Oryzias latipes: one gene and its partners. The protein of the gene in region 5 purifies or fractionates together with the protein of the main gene of each other region. This does not show direct contact. Links are inferred from orthologs where the notes say so. Each region holds a gene or a part of one and is shown on either strand. Other genes may lie near its edges. The genes, in order: anapc2, anapc11, nek2, anapc7, anapc4, ccna2 and ccnb1.

Region 1 (4,023 bases), on a different chromosome or scaffold from region 5:
GGTCAGAGGTGAGCCGAAGGGCCGCAGCGGAGCGACTACCGTCGCACCACGCCATCACCGACCGGGCACGGCGTCCGTCGGGTCCGGGGTCCAGTCCTCCGGGTCGGTGCCTTCGTCGTCGCTGTCCTGCATCTCCAGCGTCACCGGGTCTCCGCGGGACAGCTCGGAGGCCAGGTCGGTGCAGCCCTCCGCATCTCCGGTCAGACCCGCCACGATCTGCCGCACCGTGTCCTCCCGAGTCCTGAACAGCAAGAGGCAGCGCTGCGGTTTAGACGGTTCAATGAACACATTTCTAACTGAAGCGGGTTTCCTGAAACCGCCTGTCAGACCGCAGACACGCAAACTCACCTGAGGTACTTTCTGATTGGCTGACAGGCAACCTGCAGGATGACCATGGACGGGTCCAGCTCTCTGAGGGCTTTGATGGCTGAGATGTAAACGGTGAGGATGTCAGAGGTGTGAACTCCTGCACACAAGTTGAGGATGAGGATTATTTTTAAGAGAAAAGCATTCAACAGAATCAGGAAACCTTTGGAGGATCCAACAGGACAGTCGGTCCTCCACAGGTTCTGGAGAGTCGTGACAGAACTTTACACCCACTGAGCTACAGGTTTTATTTCCCCTCACTGCTGCTAAGCCGCCGCTCAGGTAGAAACCGGCATCTTGGGTACCGACGACCTGCTGATAACGACCGGCTTCTGTGGTACCGGCCCGCCGCTGACATCTACTCCCTGCTTAGCTACATACAGACCTGCTGCTCGGTTACCAAACCACTCGGTTACCAAACCACTCGGTTACCAAACCACTCGGTTACTTACCCGGGTGCAGCAAACGGCTTTCGAAGGCAGATTTCAGGGAAGTGAGGAGCTGCTGTCGCTGGTTAGTTCTCTCCAGGCAAAACTTGAGATCCTCAATCGCAGCTTTGGATTCTGGGAAATCTGCACGAGATATGGAGCAAAGATGTTAGACAAAAACAAACAAAAAAAAAACTCCGTCGGGTTGGTGAGAGTCACCTCTGATGATGCTGAAGAGCTCCTCGATCCTCATGTTGACGTAGATCCTGCAGAAGAACTGGTGCATGTGGCACCTCCACTGCTTCATGACCGGACTGGCCAAAGATGCTGGTGCCGGACCGTCTCCCGACCCCTCACAGGCAAAGACTTTCCCCAGCCAGCCGAGCACCAGCTCCAACCACTGCAAGGCGGAAAGGTTCAGACGGAGCCGACCAGGGAGCTGCTACAACGGATGCCTCACCTCCTGGAAGTTCAGCAGGAAGGAGCGCTCGTACTCGCCGCGGCAGTGCTGCTCCATCCGCTGCTCGATGAGCTTGTGGAGGATGGAGGTGACGGCCTCTGAGCTGACCCAGTCCAGCAGCTGCAGTTTGGACCTGCAGCCACAAACAGCAGGTCAGACTCTGACAGACCACAGGAGCTGCAAGGAGCTTCGCTCTGGTTCTCACAGGATGTGGCTGAGCTGCTGCAGCTGCTCCAGGGCCTCCAGACACCAGCACTGGTGAAGCGGGACCCCACAGCCCGGACAGGCCCCTCCCTCAGAACCATCCGGAGCCTCTGCCCCATCCTCGGCGTTCCCCTCCTGCTTCATGTAAACAGAGAAGGTCCGGCTGTAGAACTCCAGCACACGCTCCTGCAGGACAGGAGATGGCGAGAAGAGCAGGAGCGCTCTGATGGTCGTGAAGGCCTGCTCCTTGAGCCCTTTGGGTCCCGGCCCGCTCAGACCACAGCGGCCCTCCTGCTGCCACGCCCCCAGCTTCTCCAAACCACCTAAGGAGCAGACGTGTCAGAAATGTCCGACAGCAGTGGACCCCCCGGTGTCTGGGTCTTACTCAGGAAGGGTTCCAGGCGGTCCAGCAGAGTCCTGAAGGCGGTGAGGAGAACCCAGGCCCGGCCCCTCTCCTCCAGCTCGTTCTCCGGCTGCTTCAGTCCACACCAGAACTCTGGAACCACGGAGGACGACAAACGCATCTGCAAGGTCTCCAGCAGCCACACCCCGAGAAGAGGAGCCAGACCCCGACGGCAGAGCAGAGCCAGGCCGTCCACGAGGTTCTGATCCGACACCGAGAAGCCAGGAGACACCTGCAAGAGAACCCAACGCAGAGCCTCAGCATCCGTCCAGAAGCTGCTGTACGTGCTGATGCCAGAGCAGATCCTGGGCTCGGATTGGCTTTTACTTTTAGTTCAAACACAGCAATGAAGAACTTTGAACCAGTTTTTTCTAAACTCAGGTGTGTTTGAAAGGAGGAGCAGATTTAAAAACGCCTTCAAAGCTTCATCTGTGACTGATATACAAATGAAAATATCACGCATATAGATGCAGTCTAATGAGTCTGATAATGATCCACAGATTGTTTTAAATGTGTGAGATTCATCAAAGTGAACTACCACCAGATTTGGAGACGTGAATAACCTCGATAAACTGACGTCTCACTCATGGTTGGACTCCGACACTGAGGTTCGGGGTTCGGGTCCACTCACCAGAGCCGCAGAGACCGAATCCCATGCAGCCGCGACACCCTGGACCGGTTCGGGTCCAGACATTTCCACAGACTCCGAGTCTTCCATCATTTCCTCCATTTTATGGGTTTTTCTCCTCAATTAACAAACCGGGCGGAAGTCCAAACAGGCGCGTGCCGGTTTTAAGAGGTTTAGTTGAAGGTACAAATACACATTATTTCTCCAAAAACACAGTAATATACAAAGAAAAAGATACTATTTATTAACAAAACAAAACCACGTGACCCCTCCTACTGAATGGCGGGTTCAGATCTTCTTTGACTTCTTCTACTGTATTTAGCGCTGAAAGATGGCAGTGCTGCCACCTACAGTTGTTAATGCGCATCGTTCTGTTTTTTCTTCGTTGTTTTAGTTGTTTGCATGATGTACGTGCAAAAAATTTAAAAGTTGTAAAAAAAAGTAGTCAAAAGTATTTAAAAGAAGTCTGTTTTGCATTTTGCATTTTTGTGAACAACTACTGCCCTCGTGTGGACAGAGTGGAAAACTGCAACACGTAATGTTTGTAACAGCAACTAAGAGCTGGAGAAAAATTATTTACCAAATTAAGTTAATCTTTATGTAAAATAATCAACATCGATCAAATTAATTTATTCAAAATTAAATGTCTCAGGTTGTAATAAAAAAGCATATTTATCTTATCTTATCAAAATTGTAACATTTACTAAAGTATTTACGAAATAAATACAATTAAATTAATAACTCAGAAAAAATGATTATCTTGTTGAAAAACTTAAAAAAATCAAATTTTACCCGATCAAAAATGTTTTTACGTGTGAGGATGGGTTATGACATGATATCTGCCTCAGTGGGCAAACAGATACAACAGAACAATGATTTATAATGGAAAAACACACAAAATGTGATCACAGTCAAAATCCTTATCGCCCTCTTGTGGACAAACTGGTGAACTGCAAGACAAGTTACATCCACTATGTATTTTCACGGAAACTATTTATTTTCACGTTTTTGAAAATGTCTCTGCATTTTCTTTACTGAATAAAATATAAGTTTAAATGTTAAAATAAACAATTAATTTCTAAATAAACTGTAATTTTTTTACCGGTAATTTGGTTTAGCAGGAACCAATTACCCTGTTTAAAAAAAAATTCTAATTAAGTTTGCAAACATCTTATCTAAGTTTTCCCTATAGACAGACGGATTAGTGGTTAAACATAATCTGTCTTATTATTAACTGTGTTTGCTTTAATTAACATATCCTTGCTGTTGCACCAACATCAAAACTGTTTTGTTCGTTTAAAGAAAAAACAAAAATTATCTGCCGACAAACAGCATTTACTTCCTTAAACGTTGTACTGAGCTATTTCCAATATGACATTAGGATTTCATATTTTAAATGTAAATGTTGAAAAAAATCTATACTTCTATTTTAACTTAACCTGAAAGAGGAGGCTGTAGTTAACCCCCGGAGCATAAAAATCTAAGTCTCACTTGTTTTAAAATATCAGCATTAATGTGATGTCACACAAACAAC
Region 2 (4,203 bases), on a different chromosome or scaffold from region 5:
TCTGAACCGTGACACGTCACTCTTTGAACTTCCACTCCTGGCGACACATGGGACACTGCTGCTGCACCTGCTGGGAGTTCAGCCACTTCAGGATGCAGTGCATGTGGAAGCAGTGGGAGCACTGACCCCACACCAGCGGGCAGTCGTCTCCGGGAACCTTACCTGCAGATGAGGAGAAGCATGGCTTAACTCGAGCTGGGGTGTGCTGATGGACACGAAGTCAAAGTTATATGGGGCATGTTACATCACCAATTTATAAATAAGAATCCGAACTCCTGTAAGTGATGGTGTTGATCTCCACATCATGACCGACTGACTTCATCCTCAACAATAAACGTGTCATGAATCTGTTTATGGGAATCTCTTTTGATAAATGAATGTTTACAGCTGATTTTCTTAAGTCTGCAGATATTTACTGCAGATAAATACAATAAGATAAATATATTTTATCTTATTGTATTTATTTTATATGGACACATTACTGAACATATGTCCAGAGACTAAAAGATGTAATTATGTCCAATTTTAGCCATGATGCTATTTCACATCTGCTGTCCCTAAACAGGATGAAACGAGAACATTTGATTGATTAAATGATTGAATACAATAAAAACAACTACCAACACACATGTATATATCAAACCCATTTCAGATATAGTAATACATTGATTAGAAAATAAAGAATAAAATGAACAGTGATGACAAGACAATGCTGGCTGCTTTAGTCTAATTATTCATAATCAAAGAGACTTTTTCGCAGTAATGCATACAATACACACAAATCACATTTGATTCATTTAGTATAATGATAATTTAAAGTCATGCACAATTTGATTTGCTGCCTAAAGGTGAGCTCATTTATTTTATACAATCCCCCCCCCTAATGAATTGTTTCTTTTTATATATTTCTTTTGCATTGTTGCCATAATCCAGTTCTTATTGATGAGACAATAATTCACAAAAATAGCAAATCACAGTCATCTAGTTAAAATCAGGACTTTAATTACATCCATCCATCCATCTTTGATTGGGATGAAATACATCCCATCTGTAGCGAAGAGGCAATTTAATTAACTAATCAACTTCATTTATTAACCGACCCACCTAGAGGAAAACAGCATTTCTGCAGGTGGTCCTGTTATTTTCCCTTTAATTATGTATCATAACGGCTACATTGCATTGTACTTGTGACAATGGCAAACACAAGACTAAGTAGAATGTTCGCGCATGCGTAGTCACATCTCTGATTCTCAAATATTAGTTAAGTCGTAATATTTAATAAGGAGGGGCAGCTGTTAAACTATAACGAATTCCTATCACAGTATAATTTACCTATTACTTTACAAGAGTTTTCAATGGTGCAGAAGGCTATCCCCTCAGGAATAGTAATGTTATTTAAGAACACTGATAATTTGATACCTAATCAAAATACAATATCCAATGCGGATGAGTCACCGGTAGGAAAAATATGCTTCTCATATGGGCGTACTACTAATATAAAAATACGCAGATTATTTCAAAAGATTTATACCGCTCCCCCGTATATTTTAAATTATTGGAATCAATTTGTTCCAGATATCAACTGGAAAGCAGTCTGGACGATCCCTCATAAGTATTTAATAATAAATAAGGTAAAAGAAGTATCCTTTAAAATTCTCCATAAAATTTACCCTGCCAAACATTATATGATAAAATTTAAAAAAGATATTAATACTGATTGTAGTTTCTGTGGAGATCACCCAGAAACAGTAATTCATCTTTTCTGGCACTGTTTGTCCACACGGAGATTTTGGAAGGAGTTCAGTAGATTCATCATTATTCATGTCTTCAAAGATTTCTCCTTGAAATGGGAAAATGTATTACTTTGTTTTTTCAGGACCCCCAAAAAACAAAAGATATTTTTTATAATTAATTTATTAATTCTTCTGGCAAAATTCTACATACATAAATGTAAATTTACTAATAAAACACCATACTTCCCACAATTCATTAAAGATGTAACTTTTTACATAAAATCAATATCCTTTTCCTCCAACAAAAAAGCTCTCAGAACTATTGAAATTTGTAACTCTCTGCAAATATTTAATGAATCGACTCCCCTGGCTGTTTAACATTGTTTGTGTTGTATATTGATTGTATGTTGTATACTGCATTGATTGTTCTTTATGTTGTATACTTGCATTTGTTCAATAAAGTTATATAAAAAAAATTGTTAAGTCGTAAGTAGTTTGTTAGGTAATACAGACAGAGTAAATGTGAAATTACAAGGTTTTCTATCAAATACGGTTTTAAACGCCATTACGGCTCAATTGCCTTTATGCTACGAGGAAACATAAACATCACAAAGATTTCTTTAAACCGATGGTGGGATTTCTACTTCTTTCTTCACAGGAATTAAACATCTGCACGCGGGCGCGTTAACTCACAGTCTGGACAGCAGCCGTTGAAGGGCATCCTGCAGATGCCGCAGTTTTCATCGTTGGCCACCCACAACCAGGACGCAACTCCGTTCCACTGCTTGATCTTCACCTTCATCCTCAGCGAGAGACGGATCAGGGAAACCCACGGAGCTCAGCGGCAAACGGGACACGCAAGCTAGGCTAGCCTATGTCGACCCGGCGGAGCCTGAAGCGACCTGCTCTGTTTAACACTGCTCGCTTAACGAAGGAACAACAGTTGGGGTGTAATTTAAGTGTTTGACAATATTTTAAAAGGTACTGTTCGTTAGAACTAAGCCATGTAAAACAGTGTAAAACAACGCAAAAATATGCTGCCGTTCTTTCAAACAGCGGTGCAACTTTCTTCTTCCGGTGTCATCACATTTGGTTTATAACTGCGTTGGATTTTAAATGTCGCCCTCTATCGGTGACAAATGGTAAGAAACTGATCACTTCTTCTAATTCTTGCAAAAATAAAATAAAATAGGATAAACAATGGGGGGAAAAACGAATCTATTTAAAATTTAGATAATTTAAATGAGAATTTAAATGCATTAAAAACGTGGACCCTATTTGAAAATACAATATGAATAATTGGTGATGCCCTTTGTGCTCCCCTCCTTTTTAGTTTGTGTTTTAAATGGTAATGCTTTGTAATTTAGTTTTTCCTATTATTTATTTATTTTTTATTATTATTTTTTGCTGTGTTCCTTTGAGCCATTTGTTTAAATGTGTCTGATTCTCTTTTGTTAATAAACGCTAAATAACTTTAACTTTTAAGGGAAAAGCGATTTGTAGTAACTATAAGATAGAAAAGACACATAAGATCTAACAACACAGCTTCACAACCCAGACACAGTCACATAAAATAACTATGATGGCTTCAATTCAATTCTGACGAGACTGACAGTGAAACATCAAGGTGGCAAATAAACGTTTAAACAGATACGCACACTCCTTGCTTTTAAACAACAAATATTTTGAAAAAATTGAAATTAAGAAATCAAAATGTATACATGTGCAGAATCACTGGTGTTTCTGAAGTCTTTCCCAGCTTCTTCAGAACAAAGGCAAAGATTATAGTCTGCCAGTTAAATTCAGAGTCACCAATTAGTCCATGAGGCTTGTTTATGGACTATTTGAGGAAGCCAGAGTTCATTAAAAACCCACAAAACACCAGGAGAATTTGCAATTTAGGAAAGAACCAGAACTTTTTGGCCGTGTTGACAATTATTATTTTAATAATAATAAATATAATAAGAATTATTATTCTTATTATTATTACATTTATTACGGAATCAAGTTCCAAATGTCAACACCATAAAAACCAGAAGACTTGCATTGAGTATCATTTAAAAGCAAAAACAGCTCATTCTTCAAAATGTGAGGGCTTAGACATGAATTAGACATGGTACAAATAGAACCCCCCCCCCCCCCCCAAATGTAATTTGTGACAATAATAAAAATAATAAATTTAAATATTTGGAATTATTTAAATTTTCGAGGTTTTGTTATTCTATAATTATTTTATTTGATTTTTTTTCTATAATTATTTTAAGGAGTCATTTATATGTAATATAAATAACCATTGACCATCCCTGGATTTCAGTCTTACACACCTTGTGGAATAAGGATTTGCAAAACAAACAAACAAAACCTAAACATATGTAGAAAACTATTAGATTGAAGTCTGTTTAGATTTTCTTGATGGCAAAAAATGTAATCATATTTTACAGCTTATTTGTCTCCAAGAGCAATCAGTTAT
Region 3 (4,138 bases), on a different chromosome or scaffold from region 5:
TTCATTCATAAATTCATAGCCCAGCTGTATCTAAGTTCAGTAAGTCCAGAGGTCTTTGTTGGATTCCCCTACCTATGTCTTCGAGAAAGATCAGGTCCTTCTGCTGCTGCAGCTTGTAATTTCTCAGTAAACTCTCTGCTCTAAAACAGAACATAAAAAGTAAGAATTGACTCAAGGATTTTACACGATAATTCAAAAACCAGCAGTTGTTACATTATGCAACAGACAAAAAGAGAGACTACCTTGCAAGCCTTTCGTTTGTGAGCTGTTCACGAACACACAGCTGTTGCTCCCTTCCTGACAACAGAAAACACAATTTATTTGTACAAAAAGAGAGATTATTGTTGAAAACAAAGTTTAGAAAAAAACACCTTGCATTTCAAACTTTTGTGTGTGGACAGATGTGATGGCAACACTTTGGTTGAGAGGATGGATAATCACGTTCCGACTCCTCAAGCGTTTTATAAGGAACATCAGAAACAAGTACAGCAAATATAAAATCTACCAGATTGAAGCATTTGTGAATAAATGTATTAATCAAAGATTGCTTCGAAAAGGGCTGCTTATAATTATTAAGAGAGCAAGACACCCCAAACCCCTTTCTTTGGGATGAACCCATGCGTGGGAACAGAGAAATGTTTTCTAGTTCTTGTGCAATTTGGCAGCGGAACAGTTCAAGGCCTCAAATGTTGTTTCACAATTTCAGAAAAGTATCTCAGACTCTGATAAGTCAAATCCAAAGGACTGGTTTCTCATTGAATGGAGGCCGCTGCACTCAGAATAACCAAAGAACTATATTCTCCCCTTGATTTAGCCTCAGAAATAACTTAAAGCCTTACTCTCCAGCCTCTCCTCGCGCTCCTTCAGTGCTTTCTCCCTGTCCCGCAGAGCCTGTTCCCTCCGCCTGAGCTCCACCGCTGAGACGTGGGGCGCTTCACTCAGCCTCTGCGGGGGGCTGCTGGAGTCTGCCGACTTCCTTCGGGGTCGAACTTCTGACTTTCTCTGCTCATCCTCGACCACGACACTCAGCAGACTGCTCTGAAGAATAGACTCCACAGACGGCCTCAGGTAATCCTGTCAAAAAGCAGACTGGTGCTCAGCAGATCGTCTATTGCAGGATGAAAACAATCAATCCTTTATTTCAGACCTTCAAGTTGAGCATTCTGCTGATAAGAGAGTTCAGTTCCTCGGAATAACGGAAAGGAATTCTTCTAAACTTTCCTTCCCTGATCTTCTCTGCTAACTCCTTCTGGTTGTAAGCAGTGAATGGAGGCCTCAAAGAGGAAAAAATCCAAACATGAATTCATTAGATCAAACAGCCGAGGGAGCGGATGGAAAAGCTTAAAAAAAAAAACTTACGATAATGCGCAGAGTTCATACAGCAAACATCCCAATGACCAAATATCTGACTTTTCATTGTATGACATCCTATTTATTTGTTCCTGAATGAATAGAAAGTGTAAAAAACTAATCAATAACAAGTACAATATTTTTTTTACCTTGTAAATGTCCTTTAGAGATTTTTTTTAGAGAAAAAATAATTTAAAAAAAGCCAAAAATGTTAAATAACTTACTGGAGACATGTAGTATGGTGTGCCAACAAATGTCTTTGCAAAGCTGGTGTCGTGGTTCAGAATCCGAGCTAAACCGAAGTCGCCGAGTTTTACGTTCTGGTTTGCATCGAGGAAGATGTTGGCTGGTTTTAGATCCCGATGAAGGACGGTGGCTCTGCCGTCGCGCCGCCGGTGACACTCCTTTAGTGCCAGAGAAAGCTGCACCATGACTCGCAGGATAAACTGCTCCTCCAAGTACTTCCTGCCATTTAAAAACAACACATGATGATGCAGATAGAAAGAGGATGACTGCTTTTTCTTTCTTCCCATTTGCTCTATTTACCTCTCTTTGATACACTTGCTGATGAGACAAGACAGATCGCCACCTTCACAGTACTCCATGATGATGTACAGCATGGTATTACGGCGGTCTATAATGCGGTCGTAGTACCTCACAATGTTTGGGTGCTTGAGTTCCCTCAAGAGGTTGACCTCTGAGACCAGCATCTGTTTCTCACACTCAGCCATGGTGCCATAATCGAGCTCCTTCCACACAAGAATCTAGAGAGCAGAGATGCTTTAACCATCAAGAACATGTTCATCTTAGTCCTTTTTTCAAACTTAAAGTTCAAGTGTTTGAGTAAAAAATATTATGTTTTACTGATAAATGACAAAAAACATTTAAATGCTACATTTCCTTGATACTGAATTATGTTTAAAGATTTTTTCTTGTGAAATTAATGTCAGAAAAACTGTAATTTCCCAAATATTAAAGTACATTTGTGTCGTTATTGATTTACAGAGAAGCAAGTCATTGTTTTTTTTTTCATGACTTATCAATTAGATAACATTCACACCGTGTATTTATGTATCTTTATTTAAGAAAATACTGTATGCGTGTCTTGTGCCATAAATACTCACTTTCCCGTCACTCTTTCGTTTTATTTTCTGGCATCTTCCATAGGAGCCCGAGCCTATCGTGTACAGCACTTCGTAGTCATCAACACAGGACGGCATCTTGCCTTCGTCAACCGAAACCAACGTTAAAAGTTTCCAAACTTCACGTTAGCGTCAAATGTAAAGATAGGCCTTAGAAAAGTTGAACATCTAATTCAAGTAGTTACTTAAATTATGTTTTTTGCTCATCCAGATAATAAAGAAGTCCAAAGCCGATCTCCTCAAAACACTCGTGTTCTTTGGCATCAGTTGAAAACACAGGAAGTGCTGCTTCTCCGTTTAAATCGGTGCCAGAATTCTTACCTCTAATTGGCTCGTTCCCACGGGCACGACGGTCTCTGATTGGTCAAACAAGGACGCATTTGTTCACGTTGCTAAGAGCTGAAAACCCGCGAGATTAGAGCGGGAAGAAGCATGTTTATTCCCTGTCCACTAGAGGGCACCAAAAACAAGCAGTAGATTTACGGATTTGTTGACATATAATTGAACATACTAGATACAAATAAAACGTTTATTTGGGGAACGTGGGGAACAATTTGGGAAACAATATTGCTACAAAACACTTTTTTCGTATTATCCACATATAAATTGATTTTTCAAATAAAGCCAAGTGCACTTTTTTCTTTTGCATTTAAAATAACTAGTCACATGAGAACAATCCTTCGATTGAATTTAATAAATTTAACCCTGTCGGTAGCTTGTAAATGTACTTAAAGGTCACTGGCTCATCCAACAGCATTTTCTAAGCATGCATTCTAAGATGGATGGGAAGCAGATCCTACAGTCATCGGTCCCTTGATTTGACCTGCAGGGCAGTGAAAGACAGTGACCTCTCACAGTGCTCCTACATCTGCCATGGCTCTGAATTCACTTCATTGCTTCACTGCAGCAGGATGCCTTCTGGCACGACGGTTTAAGGAAAAAAATGCTGGCGTCACATTGTATTTTTCAGACTGAAACACAGAGCGAAAACATTCAAACGGCTTTGGATCATCTCTAGCATTGTGCACCTTTTCATCCCTTTTCTGGTGCTGTGACAGATTGACAGGTGGGAAGTAGCATGTTGGTAATTTCCAGCCCGTGAAATTGAAGCGTGACTGGAGCAAATCCTAACCACGACAGCTGGTTTTTGTGAACGTGTGATCCGTACTGGAGATGGATGCAGCGTCTGGGACAGTGGTCTAGCCTCTCAGTGGGGCAGCCAGCATAACAAGTCAGATTATCCCCACAACTCTGTCTGCTCTTGAGAGAGTGTTGGACCGGTCTGCCAAAAATCCCTCCGCCAAAGGTCACTGTTTCAAAAAGCTGGACATCAGCCAGGGACAGTTGTGAGGTGGAAGAGAGAGGAAGGAGAGACACCATTGGAAAACTGGCAGCTGAAGACAAGACGTACAGGTGGCTCAGGCCACTGTGATGTCAACTGCCCCCCATTAGAGGGAACGAGCAGAGCCCGAGCGACAATAACCCCCTCACCTGAGGCACAAATTGGTGTCGCAACAGTCGTTGTGACTTAAGACTCCTTTTTCTGGGTCCAGAAGCAGGAGCAGGAAAAGATAGCTCTATGGTTATTGCTACTTTTTCTATTTTTGTTGAATTTCATACAAAAATTGTGTTTTTTCCCACTAATT
Region 4 (4,073 bases), on a different chromosome or scaffold from region 5:
CTTTCAGCCCCAACCTAAACATATTAGTGCAACAAAAATAGCTAGCAATATTGGAACTATCCAACCATCTTAATAGTTTTGATTCAGATGCCAGCTTGGAGGGGGAAAACAAAGAAGTACACGGATCTATTTGTCTGCAAGTGGATGTATCAGATTGGAGCGGAGCACGGAGCTTGTGGCCGTAACAAATACAATCTTTTTCAAACGGCATTCTTTAAATCTGCTCCTGATTCACCAAGATTTGAATAAAGAAGTACTCAGAAATGCTTTTTTAAGGTTAATTTTTCTTTACATATGTCCTCCATCAAGAAGAAAATGCCACAAAAAAATGTAAAAACTGTTTTGAATATTACCTGAAGATGAGGAAAAACAAACCAAGAGGTGCCCTTCAAGAGTCACTTGAGATAAAGACGTCTGCTGCCAAAAATGTGTCTATGCAAGTGATTAAAAGGTAGTTTCCCCACTCTAGGATCAGTATTGGTCATAGATCAAAAGCAGCAGGCCAGCAGACACTTTCATGGTCTTCAGTGTTATTATTTTCTTGCATATATTGTAGGGATGCAACCATTAACTTCTGAGATCTATCTATCTATCTATCTATCTATCTATCTATCTATCTATCCATCTATCCATCTATCCATCTATCCATCCATCCATCCATATTTTTTTTTCCTAAATGTGTTGAAGCATAAAGCCCTCACCTGTGTCTGCATGTTGGAGGCTGCTCCACCAGCTGATGTGCGAACCTTGGATGTTTTGCTGAGCACCTTCTTCTGCTGCAGCGCCATGCTGTACTTGCAGGCCGCATTGCGATATTCCTTATCGTGAAAAATCGCATCGGCGTGGTAAACCAGCAGTTGGTACTTCTGAGCCGGTGAGAATAGTTCACTGGAGACAAAAACGAACAAGTTTCATTTAAAAATAACTACAAAGCACAATACCTCTATTTTATGGCACTAGCTTCGCATTTAAAGTGTGCAACGTTACGAAAACAGCAGCTGTATAAAAAATTACATTTTGATTACGGGGAGTTCTGGGGGGTATTCCAGAAGCATGTTTAAACTACCCTGACTTTAAGCCTGAACTCTGGCTGAAATCCGCCTGAACTTGCTTACTCTGGGTATGTCGGTTCCAAAAAACCGGATATGAGTTAGCGTAATTACGCTCCACTTGGTAACCCTGGGTTAATGCACGTGCACAGCAAGTACATAAAGACATTTTCAATGGATTGCCGATCTACGGAGTCACCATGGAAACGCGTGGTGAAAAAAAGAGAGCGCTATACGTCAGTGAGACGGAGTCGGAGATTTGAATGACGGCGTATGAAGATTAAAAAAGTAACACGGCTGCATCAGCAAAAGAGAGTTTCTGCTTGGAGAAAAAGAACGGACAAAGTAAACACAAGAGTTTCTATCTCATTTCCATTGTGATGTGTATATATATATATATATATATATATATATATATATATATATATATATATATATATATATATATATATATATATTTATAAAACTTATCCAACTTAAATGAATTAATTCAATTGGTAACAAGAAATTGAGTTAAATATATTTTTTACGTCTATCCAACTCAATATTTTTTTTAACTCAAATTTACATATTTATCTAACTAAATGTCATATCACTCCAATTCAATTAAATGTTTTTTCATCTTAATTTATTGTACTTCTTGAACTCTCATGTGTTTAAGTTTGAGCCTGCAGATATGCTCATTTTTACAACAATAAAATGCATGAATCAAAACAGATTTGCAACATGACACGTAACTGACTTAACAAAAAACAAAAAAGATTTATCTCAACTAAAGCAAATAATTAAGTTAGATCAATGTAACAAATGTTATCTTTCCAACATCCATATGTGGTCTTATCACCCTCTATGGTGGAAAAAGTATTATCTGAGCTTTTTCATCCACTAAATCATCTTCAAATGGACACACCATGCTGCCTTCACCTCTCTGAAAACAAACTAACCTTCAACTAAACCTGTTCCAGACCGGGTTATGTTCAGAGCATGAGTTGCTATGGCAACTTGACATACTGTGAAACAGACCTCCACTGTTGGTACCGAAAACTGAGATAATCCGCTTCATTAGCCTTAAACTTGCCGTGGTAACTAGCATAACCTGCTTTCTGGAATACCCCCCTGGTACATCTTCTTGAATATAAATGTGGCGAAAGAACAAATAGTAACATCTAATCAACTCCGGAAAATGAAAACATTTGATTAATGTAAATAAAGAAAACATCAATACATGTGAACAAAGTGGGGGGATTTGAGTTCAAACATCCCTCAATGACACTTCACCAAACTGTTATTGCCAAAGTCTCCACATGGCTATGTAATGGAGTGAAGGCTAACTGTATGCATCTCATAACACAAGCTAAGCATGTAGAAAGAAGCTGTGTAGGCTGCGCATTCAAACAATAGCGTAAAGACTACGACAATATGTTTTTTTCATATATATAAAACTGTCGCGACAACGGAGGAAAACCACAAAACACTTGCGTAGAGACTCATTCGGGAAATAGACGGGTCCCAGTCAAGCCATACTTACGGATTGTTATTGCTCATCGTCAGCAGCAAACTGCTCACAATGCGAACATTGGAGTGAAGGCCGGCCGAAGCCATGTCCCGAACGTGATCAATAACATTCATTTTACCGAAAAAATGCAGGCTCTTCTACAGGTTTCGGTGTGAAGTTAGAACTTTTAGCTAAAAAATATCTAGCCTCTGATGTATTAAATATGGCGCTCAGCAGCCTTCCTTCCGTGCACTGCTGCATTTGTAGGTCTGTACAAATTAGTTTTAGCAGACGATTCACGAATGACAGGTTAAGAGCGCAATCAATTCACCCTCATACAATCTTAGTATTTTTATTTAAATCGTTTTAGTTTACACATTCATCATGATGAACGTAAATTTAAACATTTGTTACTTTGTTTTTGTTCTTTGTAACAGTCTTCAATGTGAATTTGATATTTCCGATGGTTATGAACGCATCTTCTGCTTTTCACTGTATGTTTGTATTTAGCTCAAAAATCGACTTTCGCGTGAATAATTGAAAATTAAAGGCTTACTTTATAATTGTTTATTTTTTTCAACCATGTATTATTATGTTCGTGTGCCGAACGAGTTCTTCAAACATGTAGATGTCAACAAACATACGGAATTCAAATATCCAAAAAGCCCCAACATAAAATTTCTAAATTGAAAACATTTCAAACAACGAGGTATTCTGTGTATTTTTAATGCAGTCCTTTTGTAAGTCTAATTCATTGGCAGAAAGATATTTTAACAACACGAACGCGTGGTCAGCTTGAAGCACGCATGCGCACTTAAGCTAGCACCTGAATCTTGTGTCAAAACACGGAGCCAAGCGGCGGCAGCAGCAGCAGCATCGCAGGACCTCCTCTCTGTGTGCCAGAAGATATTTGTCTATACAGACAGTTTTTTTCTTAGTTACGTACGCGTACCATGACCGAACAATCAGCATTACTTCTTCGAAAACAATTGGCAGGTAATGTGATCGCATTCTTTGATATTAAAATTACAGGGAGAAAACAGCTAGTTATGTAGCAGCAATAGGCTAATGCTAGCTTTTGTGAAGCTATGTTTACGCTGTAAGATTCTGGTTAACAGGCGCTTTAATGACCGAAATTATCAGGACGTGAGCAATCTACTTGAGTTAGATGCCCATTTGTGTGGCAAAATTATGATTTCAACGTCACGTTGGAATAAAAGATAAACTAAAACCCACGCAGACCAGCAACGCCGACCGTCCTAGCAAGCTAGCAACTTCGGCGTTATTTAGCGGGCAGAACAAAGGAATAATGAATTCAGGGGCTCACAGCCCTTTTGAGTTTAGCTTTACCAATGATACACATGAATACCGTAATACGTTGGGCAACACACAAACATATATTTTCTTAGTAAACGTAATTGAAAATGTGAAACTCATTATTTAGTTATGTAAGATAATATCTAATCACTTTCTCTGGTAGGATGATAGCGGTACCCGTTGGCATTTTTTAAGTATCGAACGAAGCCCAC
Region 5 (3,480 bases):
ACAGAACTGGGGAAAAAGGCTTTTGTCTTTTCTGCCCCCTCCACATGGAACGCTCTACAGAAAAGATGGAAATTAAAAGAACTCATTCCACTGAATATTTTTAAATCCAAGCTGAGATTTGAGGAGAAAGTCCCTTTTAACTGTACCTGTTTTACATGAGTTCTAATTTTTATTTATGTTTTTAATGTTGACATTTTTATGGTAAATGTAATTTATTGTTTCCCCCCTAGCCAGGACTCCCTCGAAAAAGAGATTCTTAATATCCATGGGACAATTCCTGGGTAAATAAAGGTTAAATAAAACTCCAACAGGTACTGTGAAACTCCAACACACCTCACATTATTACATAAATGTCTGGTTCAACTCCCACTTCACTCTTACAGTTCCCAAATAATTATTTAAAACTGCAATTTTGTAGCTGGTTTGCCGTTGACCTTCAAAGGGAACCCTGCTGACCCATTTTGGGGCGTAATATTGGGGACAAAAGATTCAACAGTGAGTTTCAAAATAGCTGACAGCAGATTGTTTTTTTATTAATAAACAATCAAAAAACCACAGGACTTTAAGCATTTATGCAAAGAACCTTGTTCTTGGTGTCATGGGACTTTTAGAGCTTCTTCTGACTCCAGATGCTCCTCGGTTTTTTGAAGGGCACCTCCGCGGCCCCCCTTGGATTCACCGTCAGTCTCAGGGTTCTCCTCTGCAGGCCCACGCCTGGGCCCGGACGGTTCCAGCCCATCCTGGTCAGCACTTGCATTCAGAGATTCCAGCCCCTCGTCCTCTTCATCCTCTACATCCATCTCAAAAACACGAATGTGCCTCACGTTGGAACTCAGCTACCAAGAAGAGAAAGAAACAGGACTTGAAACTGTCCGTAGGTCCTGATTCATTCAATCAGTTAGGAAATATTGGGATTGAATTTACTCCTCTGCAACAGAAGTCATAAATCAATCCCAGAAGTACACTCAGCTACTGTCCATTTCTTTCTTGTACCATCAGAAAAGCTCTGACATGACCACCATTGTGGAGGATTCTATGTCTGATTTGTTAACATATCAAACCCAAAAAGCACATGCTGCTCAGGACCGGGACAGGCAGCAGGCTAAAGGTGAACTCTGAAGTGAAGCAGAGGTTTGACGTACCACGCACGCCACTTTACGGATTCCGTTGACGGCAACAAACTGAGCTTTCATGTTTTCCAGTTCACGCCACTGGGTCCCTGGAAACAGAGTCTGGCATGGGATGGTGCTGCTCTGCTGGTCCAGCCTGAACATACAAACACGTTAAAGTTCAGCACGTTCCATCCCAACACACGTTCCATTCTGTCAGTCCAGTCCCGGTGGGTTTACTGCTTTTTAGTTATACTTTTGTTAGCATTTTATTCAGTGATTCATGCTGTCTACTGAAGCTGATCCGTCTGTCAGAACACGCAGCAAAACACGCTTTACTGCCGTGAAACTTTCAAACCAAATTAAATGCTTGAGACTGTTTCACTGTTTGTCCAATAGGTTAAGAGGATTTTGACCTGAACTACTGGACTGAGTGGCTGTGACATCACCCATAGAAAACACTTCCTCCTGGCTCCAACCAAATGAAGTCAAGCCAGTCGCCGCCATGTTGGAATCAGACAATGTCAGCAAGCAGCGATTGGTCCAAGTCAGTCTGAGTCATCGTTTCTATAGCAACTGCTCTGGCCATTCAGGAGTGTTGGAAGACCACACCCCTACTACTTGAAAGTAGGCTACACAAAATCTGTCAATCAAAACTACGAACGTTGGGGCCAGCAGGCTCCACACACGTTTATTGAGGGGAGGGGTCATATGATGAGGGGGACACGGCTCCCTCACCTGATGTCGGGCTGCCAGCTGAAGTCGGTCCCACAGCTCAGACTGGATGAAAGAGGAAGCTGAGCCAAACCACGCCAGCCGCTCTGCTCTTCACATGCTTGTAATACCACTGTTAAAATGTCATCGTCATAGAAACGAGCATCCAGACAGCTGTAGACATAACCTGGCCTGGAAAAGAAAAGTTATTAGAGCAACTCTTCTAAAGGCAAATGTAAAGAGGACGGCATAGGAAAGGCTCACTGGTCTGCAGCATTGTCATCCTCTGGATCTTCAAGTTGGTGGGTGAGGTTAAACGACACAACACTGAGTGGAGTTTGACTGGAGGGTTTAAAAAAGAAGCTTCATTAGACTGAAATGTCTCAAGAAAGACGTAGCTCCCAGCAGTTCACCTGTTTGAGTGGGTTTCTTTGCGCAGCAGGTAAAACTTGCTGGGTGAAACCTCCGGCATGCAGAACACAACATTATGCATTTTGGCCTTTTTATCGTTCCATCTGTGAAAACACCAAGAAGACAAATGATCATCACTGACTCAATTTGAGGCAAACAAAACTTACGATGTCTGTGTCCCACTTACAAAGATGGGAGTTCGAAGAGCCGGGGTGTGTTTTCTGAGCTACAAAACAGAATGAAACGATGATGGTGGGGATATGTCACATGAAATCATCATTCTGAGAAAGAGTCAAATGTCACCTCTCTGGCACAGTGTACAGGGGCACAAAAGCAGCTTGCTTCACAGATTTCCCAATGACCTCCTGCAAGAGAAACAGACGGGATGATCTCAGATGACGGACAGGAATGAGAGGCAGACCGGGGACGCTTCAAACCCACAGCCGGTTTCTGAAGGCAGTGCTGGATCACGCCCTCCATCATCCTCTTTACAAAGTGCAAAGACTTCTGGGGATATGATGGAAACAGCAACGGGCTCTCTGCAAAAGTCAATCAAAGTGGTAGAAGGTTACAGAACCGACGGAGAAAATGTGTCCCAACAAAGAATTGAAGGACTCCAGAAAAAAGGACTGACCTTTCAGGTGCGAGCTCTCCTCTAAAAACTTCAGCCACTGGTTCCCCTTGGTGTTGGGGGGAGACATGAGGTCTTCATCCTCATCCTTCAGATACTGTAAATGTCCACACAAAGGAACAATCAGCAAGCAAAGTCATTCAATCACTTCCAGCTGATTGGTCCATCACATACCTGACCAACTCGCTCCACGTTGAAGTATTTCCCTTTACGATCAAAGAGCTCCTCGTTCTATTAAAACCATAAAACTCTTCAAAACAATCCCAAAGTTTGAACGGAGCAGCTGCTCTTTCACCGCTTACCTCACTAAAATGCTCCGACAAAAAGTCAGCGACAAACGCTATGTCCTTCTGAGTCATCTGAGGATTTAAGAGCTTTAAGTTGTAAAACGTTTTCAGAAATACGTGAAAACCAAACATCTGTGCTCAAACCGACCTTATTGAGTTCTGGTGGAACGTGTTCGTCACACATTCTCAGCATGGCTGCAGGGAAATCATGTCACATCCATCAGAACATGCAGCTGTTCTTTTATCGTTGATTTAAATGAAATTAGGGAAAGGTTCATTCTCACCCACATACAGCCAGCGAAAAAAGGCTTTGAAGTTTTTCATGCTC
Region 6 (3,929 bases), on a different chromosome or scaffold from region 5:
ATTCTCAGCTTAGAGGACAAATGCTACACATTTCTGAAACCATGTTCCTCCCTGCAGTGTCACTGAAGTGAGTAACAGGCCAAGGAGTTTACCATCAACAGTGAAGATGCTGGAGTCTGGAGCCGCCTTTTGTTTCCATGCAACTTTTCAGAATTATCCGATCATCTTAACACCTCTAATCTCGCGGTACAACTAAAGACACATTTTTAGCCATCATTTAATTGAATTTAAGGTTACTTATTGTAAAAAAAAAAAAATGTGGTTGGGAAGTTTTTACTGCTAGTTGAGCTCTCAGAAATTGTCAGATTCCTCTGATACTTTTTTAGAGTAATACAAATATTTTCCAACGATCCTTAAATAGAAGTACACAAAATCAAAGTACGGCAGCTCACCTGGAGGCCTTGTACTTCTCGCGGACAGACTGCTGGGCGTGCTGAGCGGCGCTCAGGAACATCTTGTGAAGGTCTTCGATGCACGGCATCAGGTCTACTAGCATGTAGCCCGTCATCTCTGCCAAGGATTTGGGCTGGAGCAGAGCAGAGAAAATGTCAGTGAACCAATTTTACATTTCCACAACCACCATGAGCCTCAGCCTGGCATGTGACAAACAGCCCCACGTCCCCATAAAGCATCTCAAACCAAAACATTCAAGCGTATAACCCTTCACATTCCTAACTTAAGTTGGAGGGAAATAGTCTCACCCAAGAGCCGCCGGTCACTGCATGGTTGGCGAGGATGTAGGCTGCAGCCGCCGTCTGCGATGGCAGGTACTTCAAGAAGGGGTCTGAATCTATCAAACTCAACTCCCCGAGGTACTGAGGACAGATCAAGCACCGTCAGAGCACATCCATATGCTTCTGTAGACCAACACGACGGACCACATGAACACTCACCATTGCCAAGCTTTCCACCTGTTTGTTGACGCCGTGGTGGCAGAAGTACTGAGTAAGAAACTGGTTTATCGTTGGTGCTGCCAGATCAAATGACAGGACTTTGAGCACCAGATGCTCCATCCTCAACACCTGCTTCTTGGTGTACGTGTCATCTGTGATGTAGACGAACTCTGCCACCTCAGGAGGGTAAATCTCTTCGAATTTCCTGCACATACAAAGTCATTCAACCTTTCCGAACCAAACTAGTCGTGTTTTCCTGGGCAGGATAATTGGCACATACGCAGCCAGCAGCATGGCAGCAGTCCCAACAAGCTGGAGTTTGCCCCTCAGGACGGACATCGACGAGAGGAAGCGATCAATGTAGTTAACGGCCAGATACAGCGTTTCATTGTGGAGCTTGTACTCTTCTCCAACCTCCACCAACCAGTCCACCAGGATGGCCCTCATGCTGTTTGTGATGTCAGGCTGCTTCTTCATGTAGCCGGCCTTCGGTCTGGTTTTCACCTGAAACAAATACCCGATTGTTGTAGCAGAGATGACAGGAGGGGAAGAAAGGAAAAGGAGAGTCTCTCACCTCCATCTCCCTCAGGTACAAATGAATTTCAGCTGCATATTCTGGGACTTCGTTGACATTAACTTGTTTGTCGTCCACCTCCACCAACGACATGTCCATGGGAGAATCTGAAAGTCATTTAGTGCACAGATGATGACACCTCACTTTGACACCAAAGCCAACATCGGTCATTACTAAACAAGCCAAGATTCTACAGCAGCCCACCAAAGCCGGCTTCCACAACCAACGGGACATCGAGGGCAGCCAGGGGCTGTCGGCATGTCAGGGCGTTGTGGACGGCCACAGGAGAGCGAGGGGCCGGGGCCCTGGCTCTGAGGGCCTCAGACACGGTCTTCTTGGTGCAGGCGCCATCAGGCTCATCCATGTGGATCTGGAAGGCCGGCTGCTTGACAGGCGGCTTTTCCAGGACGCTTTTCCCATAATCGTCAGCTTTACAGGATGAGGGTAGAGCAGAGTCCTGGAGGCAACAGAACACAAGAAAGGTGAGTTTCTGCTCTGAAGGCAAACAGCAGCAGATCTGCTTCAGAAGACAGAACAGTCTGTAAGGTAAACTAGGAGGAGTGAGGCTAAAATGGCGCACAGACTGAACATGAAACTACAAAGACCATCTCCAGAAGCAGATCTAAGACAGGTTCAGATGCTAAAGGCGAATGACTGTTATCACGGTGCTAGAACCGAGCCACAGCCGTGAGGAACCGGGAGCACAGCCGGATAACCGGCGGCTGGCGCCCCGCCGCGGAGCGGGCCGTGCGGCGGCATGCTACCTGCTTTGCGCCGCGGAGGCTTTGGGTTTTGTTCCGCTGGTGGTTCTGCAGAGCTCCCAGCACGGTTCTGTTGGCAGCCTGTTTGGGCGGAAGGTTTTCGCTGGCTGCAGGCCGGGCTTTGATGGCGCCTCTCAGCCTGCTGGACGGCATGTTCTCCTGGTTTTGGAGCTCACTCGCCGCGCTTCGGTTTGCCGCCGACATGTTTCCTGCAACAAACACTCGCTGCTGGCTTTGACCTTTGAACTCTTCGGGACCCCTCGTCGTTCGTAGCGGGGATCGGGTCGGGTGCTAGCCTGAAGTGGAGCCGAATAAACTCAAAACTAAACAGTTGAGATGGCAACGAAAAAACAGAACAGCAGCGCCACAGCAGAGGAGCGCGTGAGCGGTAGAGCGATTCCAAAGCGCGGGACACAAACACACTACGGTTCCATAGTCACGCGGGTCCACAGCACAACCGACCAGGACACGAACCACTAGCAAGCAGACATTTAGGAACAGGGTTCTGCTTTCTCTCAGTTCAAGTAGCCCGCGAGGATTGAACCAACCAATCACAAAGCGCACAGATGGTGACGCTGCAAAACTACTGGAGCCGCAGTGGTACAAATGTCTTGATTGCAAATTCAAAACCGGTTGGACCCGTTTGTCTGCAGCGGCACAGAGCAGCAAACGAAAGGAAACGTCCCTGCTCAAGCAGACGGCAGTCAGGACGACGTCCGTGGATTTTAACCGTCTGCAGACTCTTCTGAGCGTGTTTATTTACAAAAACTAAAATAAAACGACACTTTCTGAAGTGTTGTCAGATTTCAAGTGCTTATGAGCTTATTTGACCTGCAGTTAGTAAGGATTCATTTAAAGGAAAAGGTTCTCCAAATATAATACACTGGATTCTCTGTTTAAGGGTTTAATGGCCATTATAATAAAAATAAAGAAGAACAAAGCACGTCACTGAAGATGTGTTCAGTCATGTGTTGTGGGGATTGAACAGGCAATGAAAAACACCACAAAACATTTCTACATAGTTTAATATGGTCTGATCTTTAAAAAATCATATGACATCTTTTGACTATTTCATTTTTAAATAGTTTCTCACAGAGATTTTCATATAGAAATGCAGTCCGTTTAGCTTTGATTTCTGTCTATGAACCTGTGATATGTTATTAAATGAAAAAGAGGAGTCTGTATTAACTACCTGGAGGAATTTATAAAGTCTGGATTTAAGCAGAAATAATTGTGGATTGTGAAACCGACAGCTTCTGAAAACAGCATGGCACCATGACACAAACTATAACTGTCATTACATAAAGATGCAACATAGAAGCAGAACACGTGAATGGATTTTATTTCATCCAACCTCAAACATCATTGAAAAATTCTAACAGAGAGTTTAGATCATAGTTATCCAGAATCTCCAACAGAGATGACACCTTTGTTTTCACATTCTGGCCTTTGAACTTGAATTTATCAATGAAGAGGTCAGTGATCATTCCTGCAGGAAAAACAAATATAAAGAAATAGAAATTAGTGTCAGGAGACCAACAGAAATTAAGATAAATGTGGCTTCTGCAATGTACCATAAAGCCTCTCCAGATGTGCTGGCTGCTTCTTGTATTCCTCCAGAAGACTGGCAGATTCATCCAAGATGCTTCGATACTCTGGTATGAGAAAACTGGCGTTTCCCTCATGAACCTGAAGCTCCTG
Region 7 (4,194 bases), on a different chromosome or scaffold from region 5:
TTAAAAAATAAAAGATTACCATGTGTTTAGTTTGCCCATTGTTGACTTTCACGACATTCTTAGCGATGTGCGCCATAACAGGTGTCAGGGTCTCTGCTGTGTACTCCATGTAATGCTGCAGTGTCACATCCTGGGAAGGAAGACATTCATATCCAATGCTGTCCCAGGCAAGTCAGCGATGAGAGCAAACCCTTCAAGTGTCACTCACCCATTCCCCTGCATCCAGGACCTTGAGAGTCAGCGCCAGAGCTGCACTCGCCACCAATGAGGGCGGGAAATGAGCCATGTCGTAGTCAACCATGGAGAGCTCCAGCAGGTATTTGGCCAGGGTGTGTTGTTCAGCAGTTACCTGAAGAAAAATAAAATCCCACCTTCACCTCAGCACATGCAGTGGTGGAAGAGAACAGTTTGCCGCACCGACACCGCGCCACACCTCATAGATCTTGGAGGCCCTTCTGAGGAACTGCAGCGGGAGGGGGCGGCCCAGCTGAAACTTCAGCACTCGCAGAATAGTCATTTCCATGTCTCTGATCTGAGCAGTGGTGTAAGCCCTGTCCGTCACGTAGGCAAAGTCTGAGATCTCCGGAGGGTACATCTCCTCGTATTTGGAGGCCAGGAACATGGCGGTCACGCCAACCAGCTGCAGCTGCTTCTTGGGGACTGGATGGTCCTGTTGAAAGGACCGCAGACAAAATAAAAGAAAAATCTCAGCACACAAGTCAGTTAGAGGACATCTGTTATGAAATTATTTTTTTTTATTGAATTATGGAGCACATCTAGTCTGTAGAGGAACACTGACAGACTCACCTGAAGAAAGCGGTCGATTATTCCCACAGTCATGTACATGGTCTCCTGCAGCAGACGGAACTTGAGGCCCACTTGTACCAGCCAGTCAATGAGGATGGCTCGCATGTTTCCGGTGATCTCCTGACCCTCAAGGTAGTTTGGCTTTACGCTCTGCTCCATCTACAGGAGAACAAACGTCTCTTTAGGGAAACGGCACACATCAGGAATGCAGCTTTCCGGGTTTTAGTCCGACCTCAAGCTGACGGAGGTACTTGTAGATGTCCTTAACATATTCACTGCAGAGCATGGGGTTGTCGTAGTCATCTGCATCCACGTCCCTGATGGCCGTGTTGAGGATGACATCTGAAAATGCTTGACAGAGGTCAGCAGACTCACATCCAGAGGTCTCCATGGGGGTGGGGGATGCACGTTCAGCCTGGGCTGGCACCTGTGAGAAGGTCATGTCAAATCATTACACGTCACCCTAGTGGTAGAGCGTCTGCCCCAAGACTGGTAGGCAGAGGGTTCAAAACCAGTGGAGTCACAGCAAAGACTTCGGATGGAACCAAAGCCTCCCTGCTTGATTCAAGTGGACACATCAGAAGGGAGCTGGTGACCTGCCGGTGGGATTTTCTACCTCACAAATAAGCCCTTATCCAAACAAACAGCATTTTTTTTCTCAATTCACAACATTTGAATAAAGTAATCAGAAATGAAATTTCAATCTCATTTTCTTTAGATGAATCTTTTATAAGAAAGAGGCCACAATCAGAGTGGGTCTGTAAGGGGTTGGATTGGGAGTGGTTAACCCACCATATGGCTCCGAAGCACAACCATGCCTGGAGCTCACTGCTGCCCCCAGAGGATGGGTCAACCACGCAGGACAAATGTCCCAACCAGGTGTGTGACAACCAATGACACCAACTCACCTCAGTCACCTGCACTTCAGGTGCTGGTTTAACAGGGACCACAGCAGCTTTTGGTAGCTCGATCTTCTCAGCTTTAGCTGGGATCTTTGTCTTCTTAGCAACCTCCGTCTTGATAGTCTGAAGAAAGAAAGGTCAAACCCAAATACTGCTATGCATTTTACAGAGCTGGGATCTTTTCATTTGAGTTCTTTGCTTCTTGCACAGTTTGGGAAATCTCTACAGCTGCAGGCCAAAGCCACAAGTCCTAGCTGTACAGGTTTTGAAGCTCTGCGCATTGAGCTGATAGTACAGCAGTAACAAGAGTTTCTCTTAACAAATGTGCATTCAAACTCAAGTTGTTGTTTTTTTAGCAAAGATTTAAATTTACAATTGATGGTGTACATTCTTAGACATAGTTCCAGGTTAACTGTGCTCCTCCAACCTGGGATGCATTTTATACTTGACTAAGGGCCCCAGTTCAGCACAGTAGACATTTTCTCATCAGAACAGGCCCAACCCCTCACTTCTACACCAAACTTGCCCCAAAAAAAGGTTAATCACTTTACTTCGATAAGTGGAAAATACATTTATATAGGATTTTTAAAAAAAAAAAAAAAAGATTTTACCTTTTTCGTGACATCTTTGTTAATAACTGCGACGTTTCCGATTTCTCCGAGGGCCGCGCGGGGCTTCTGTGTAGGCCCGGCCACCGAGCACGTCTTTCCGCCCAGTTCGGCCCGGGTGGAGGCCAGTCGGTTCTGCAGCGAGAAAACGGACAAAACAAGGCGCGCTCGAGATAAACCTGCAGTGGTGAAGCAGCACGTTCAATAAATTCAAGCCAACAATATTTGACCTCTAGCTTCCGCTCACATACAGCCACATGACAGTCCAGTCAGAAAACACGTCAAAACATTTAAAACCAGAGAAAGACGCGCTTCCTGAAATCGTTCTTTTCCGGTAAAAACAGAGAGGAACGTGTAACGTGGTTCAGACTTACCCTGGTAACTCTCAGAGCCATGCCTTTGCCTGCTTCTCTTCCACAAACAACCACGAAATTGAAGCGGAGAAGGTGAAGATTCCAACGCACGAGTCGTGGTTTAAATCCTCGCTCGCTGCAAACCGATTGGCTGCGCTGGGCGGCTGCGGCGATTCTGATTGGATAAACGAGTACGTGTCAGATGCGCTCCCAAGACAACTTTGGGTCACGTGATCACGCTCTTCTTAGGTCACTTCCCTTACCCGGATATCTAACTCCGTTCTTCTAGAGCTATTAAAATAAAAACATTTGTAGATAAAAACATACACTACTTTATTGTTTGCATCTAAACAAGGAAAACACTTTTTTAACGCAAAACAAAAAGAAGAAGAATCAAGAGGATCTCAAAAACAATCCTTTACAAAAACAAACAGTACACTGAAGCTTATTTTTTAAGTATACTTGAGCATCATTTTACCAAGCATGCTGCTATAGGTTGGATGTATGTATAGTAGAAAGTACAAAATCTGTTAAGGGTTAACAAAATTTAGTATCCTTAAATGCACTTCAAGTAGGCTAAAAGTGAGGCAGTGGACTTGAAGTTTACTTTTTATATCTATATATTTTAAACTTAGACAGACTGGGCTGGCGACCTGTCCAGGGTGTCCCCTGCCTTTGCCCGTAACATGTGGAAAGGCTTCGGCAGCCCTGTGACCCCAAAAGGTACAAAACGGAAGAAGATAAATGTATATATAGTAAACTTAAAATGTTCCAATTTAGTCTATAGATGTATTCAGTTAGTATATTCCCTACACTACATGTGTATACCGGCTATACTTGTTATGCTCAGTTATACTTAATCAAATAAACTCAAAGTCTACCACTTATTGCTAATAGAATTGAATGTTGCCCTAAAAATGATTTTATTCTGACACTTAATGATTTTCTCAGTTTATTGTCATTTTTTATGTTAAAACATGTTTGAATCCCTCCGTGCAAAAGAATGCATATATATATATCTTTTTCTTTTTACAAAAAAGCTCATTAGTCCTGTATTCGCTACTAAAGTAGAACAGTGGTGTAGTGATTTGTTCTTTTGCCTCAGTAGGGCCTGGCTCACATCCCAGCCGGGTCTTTTCTGAGTCAAGTTTACAAGTTTACCCCAAGCATGTGTGGGTTTTATCCTGGCACTCAGGCATGTGCAAACATATTTAGGTTAATTGATGATTCACAATGTCTGTGACTGTGTGGCCCTGCAATGGACTGGTAACCCATCTGGAGTGTGTACAGCCTTCACCAAAGGATCCAGTGACCTCAAAGAGGATCAGCAGGTTTGAAATTGATTTTCTTTTTCTCCTTTTAATTTGAAAACACCTTCTAGTGCTGAAGCCTTTCACACAAAATGCATGCTGTCAACACATTTTTAAATGTTTTCATGCAGCTCAATCATTTTCTGCTGCAACGAAAAACTAATACAGCTCTGATCATTTTTAAGTTATCACCTCTGAACATGACCAAAAACAA

Evidence for each region.
Region 1: the proteins of anapc4 (region 5) and anapc2 purify together in Homo sapiens (affinity purification with western blotting; 12 studies listed by BioGRID and IntAct, with this or other methods). This does not show direct contact. The link is inferred for Oryzias latipes from reciprocal best matches to the Homo sapiens genes ANAPC4 and ANAPC2.
Region 2: the proteins of anapc4 (region 5) and anapc11 purify together in Homo sapiens (affinity purification with mass spectrometry; 8 studies listed by BioGRID and IntAct, with this or other methods). This does not show direct contact. The link is inferred for Oryzias latipes from reciprocal best matches to the Homo sapiens genes ANAPC4 and ANAPC11.
Region 3: the proteins of anapc4 (region 5) and nek2 purify together in Homo sapiens (affinity purification with mass spectrometry; 6 studies listed by BioGRID and IntAct, with this or other methods). This does not show direct contact. The link is inferred for Oryzias latipes from reciprocal best matches to the Homo sapiens genes ANAPC4 and NEK2.
Region 4: the proteins of anapc4 (region 5) and anapc7 purify together in Homo sapiens (affinity purification with western blotting; 14 studies listed by BioGRID and IntAct, with this or other methods). This does not show direct contact. The link is inferred for Oryzias latipes from reciprocal best matches to the Homo sapiens genes ANAPC4 and ANAPC7.
Region 6: the proteins of anapc4 (region 5) and ccna2 purify together in Homo sapiens (affinity purification with western blotting; 3 studies listed by BioGRID). This does not show direct contact. The link is inferred for Oryzias latipes from reciprocal best matches to the Homo sapiens genes ANAPC4 and CCNA2.
Region 7: the proteins of anapc4 (region 5) and ccnb1 purify together in Homo sapiens (affinity purification with western blotting; 3 studies listed by BioGRID). This does not show direct contact. The link is inferred for Oryzias latipes from reciprocal best matches to the Homo sapiens genes ANAPC4 and CCNB1.

What each region holds. Positions count from the first base shown.
Region 1 is NC_019866.2:2,382,402-2,386,424, forward strand, and holds the start of anapc2 (anaphase-promoting complex subunit 2), read right to left. Parts: upstream 2,801-4,023; 5' UTR 2,592-2,800; coding exon 2,493-2,591; intron 2,094-2,492; coding exon 1,844-2,093; intron 1,782-1,843; coding exon 1,460-1,781; intron 1,388-1,459; coding exon 1,255-1,387; intron 1,195-1,254; coding exon 1,014-1,194; intron 939-1,013; coding exon 819-938; intron 467-818; coding exon 349-466; intron 242-348; coding exon 63-241; intron 1-62. UniProt on the Homo sapiens protein: Together with the RING-H2 protein ANAPC11, constitutes the catalytic component of the anaphase promoting complex/cyclosome (APC/C), a cell cycle-regulated E3 ubiquitin ligase that controls progression through mitosis and the G1 phase of the cell cycle.
Region 2 is NC_019859.2:4,486,005-4,490,207, reverse strand, and holds the start of anapc11 (anaphase-promoting complex subunit 11), read right to left. Parts: upstream 2,801-4,203; 5' UTR 2,536-2,800; coding exon 2,427-2,535; intron 163-2,426; coding exon 17-162; 3' UTR 1-16. UniProt on the Homo sapiens protein: Together with the cullin protein ANAPC2, constitutes the catalytic component of the anaphase promoting complex/cyclosome (APC/C), a cell cycle-regulated E3 ubiquitin ligase that controls progression through mitosis and the G1 phase of the cell cycle.
Region 3 is NC_019882.2:6,331,936-6,336,073, reverse strand, and holds the start of nek2 (serine/threonine-protein kinase Nek2), read right to left. Parts: upstream 2,801-4,138; 5' UTR 2,571-2,800; coding exon 2,475-2,570; intron 2,115-2,474; coding exon 1,897-2,114; intron 1,816-1,896; coding exon 1,575-1,815; intron 1,443-1,574; coding exon 1,360-1,442; intron 1,275-1,359; coding exon 1,148-1,274; intron 1,075-1,147; coding exon 840-1,074; intron 298-839; coding exon 243-297; intron 141-242; coding exon 73-140; intron 1-72. UniProt on the Homo sapiens protein: Protein kinase which is involved in the control of centrosome separation and bipolar spindle formation in mitotic cells and chromatin condensation in meiotic cells.
Region 4 is NC_019867.2:25,467,751-25,471,823, forward strand, and holds the start of anapc7 (anaphase-promoting complex subunit 7), read right to left. Parts: upstream 2,801-4,073; 5' UTR 2,679-2,800; coding exon 2,578-2,678; intron 889-2,577; coding exon 702-888; intron 1-701. Other genes in the region: ubiquitin-conjugating enzyme E2 G1, read left to right, coding at 3,498-3,540. UniProt on the Homo sapiens protein: Component of the anaphase promoting complex/cyclosome (APC/C), a cell cycle-regulated E3 ubiquitin ligase that controls progression through mitosis and the G1 phase of the cell cycle.
Region 5 is NC_019862.2:1,190,204-1,193,683, reverse strand, and holds the end of anapc4 (anaphase-promoting complex subunit 4), read right to left. Parts: coding exon 3,437-3,480; intron 3,348-3,436; coding exon 3,301-3,347; intron 3,225-3,300; coding exon 3,168-3,224; intron 3,097-3,167; coding exon 3,040-3,096; intron 2,963-3,039; coding exon 2,869-2,962; intron 2,774-2,868; coding exon 2,676-2,773; intron 2,600-2,675; coding exon 2,538-2,599; intron 2,461-2,537; coding exon 2,422-2,460; intron 2,339-2,421; coding exon 2,237-2,338; intron 2,166-2,236; coding exon 2,088-2,165; intron 2,016-2,087; coding exon 1,848-2,015; intron 1,267-1,847; coding exon 1,143-1,266; intron 837-1,142; coding exon 597-836; 3' UTR 501-596; downstream 1-500. UniProt on the Homo sapiens protein: Component of the anaphase promoting complex/cyclosome (APC/C), a cell cycle-regulated E3 ubiquitin ligase that controls progression through mitosis and the G1 phase of the cell cycle.
Region 6 is NC_019868.2:207,888-211,816, reverse strand, and holds the start of ccna2 (cyclin-A2), read right to left. Parts: upstream 2,801-3,929; 5' UTR 2,433-2,800; coding exon 2,232-2,432; intron 1,925-2,231; coding exon 1,672-1,924; intron 1,575-1,671; coding exon 1,468-1,574; intron 1,398-1,467; coding exon 1,174-1,397; intron 1,099-1,173; coding exon 894-1,098; intron 816-893; coding exon 702-815; intron 527-701; coding exon 393-526; intron 1-392. Other genes in the region: bbs7 (Bardet-Biedl syndrome 7 protein), read right to left, coding at 3,584-3,717, 3,803-3,926. UniProt on the Homo sapiens protein: Cyclin which controls both the G1/S and the G2/M transition phases of the cell cycle. Functions through the formation of specific serine/threonine protein kinase holoenzyme complexes with the cyclin-dependent protein kinases CDK1 or CDK2.
Region 7 is NC_019870.2:25,679,338-25,683,531, reverse strand, and holds the start of ccnb1 (G2/mitotic-specific cyclin-B1), read right to left. Parts: upstream 2,801-4,194; 5' UTR 2,713-2,800; coding exon 2,692-2,712; intron 2,453-2,691; coding exon 2,321-2,452; intron 1,833-2,320; coding exon 1,716-1,832; intron 1,235-1,715; coding exon 1,040-1,234; intron 967-1,039; coding exon 808-966; intron 671-807; coding exon 434-670; coding exon of another isoform or gene 374-433; exon of another isoform or gene 350-373; coding exon 209-349; intron 131-208; coding exon 20-130; intron 1-19. UniProt on the Homo sapiens protein: Essential for the control of the cell cycle at the G2/M (mitosis) transition.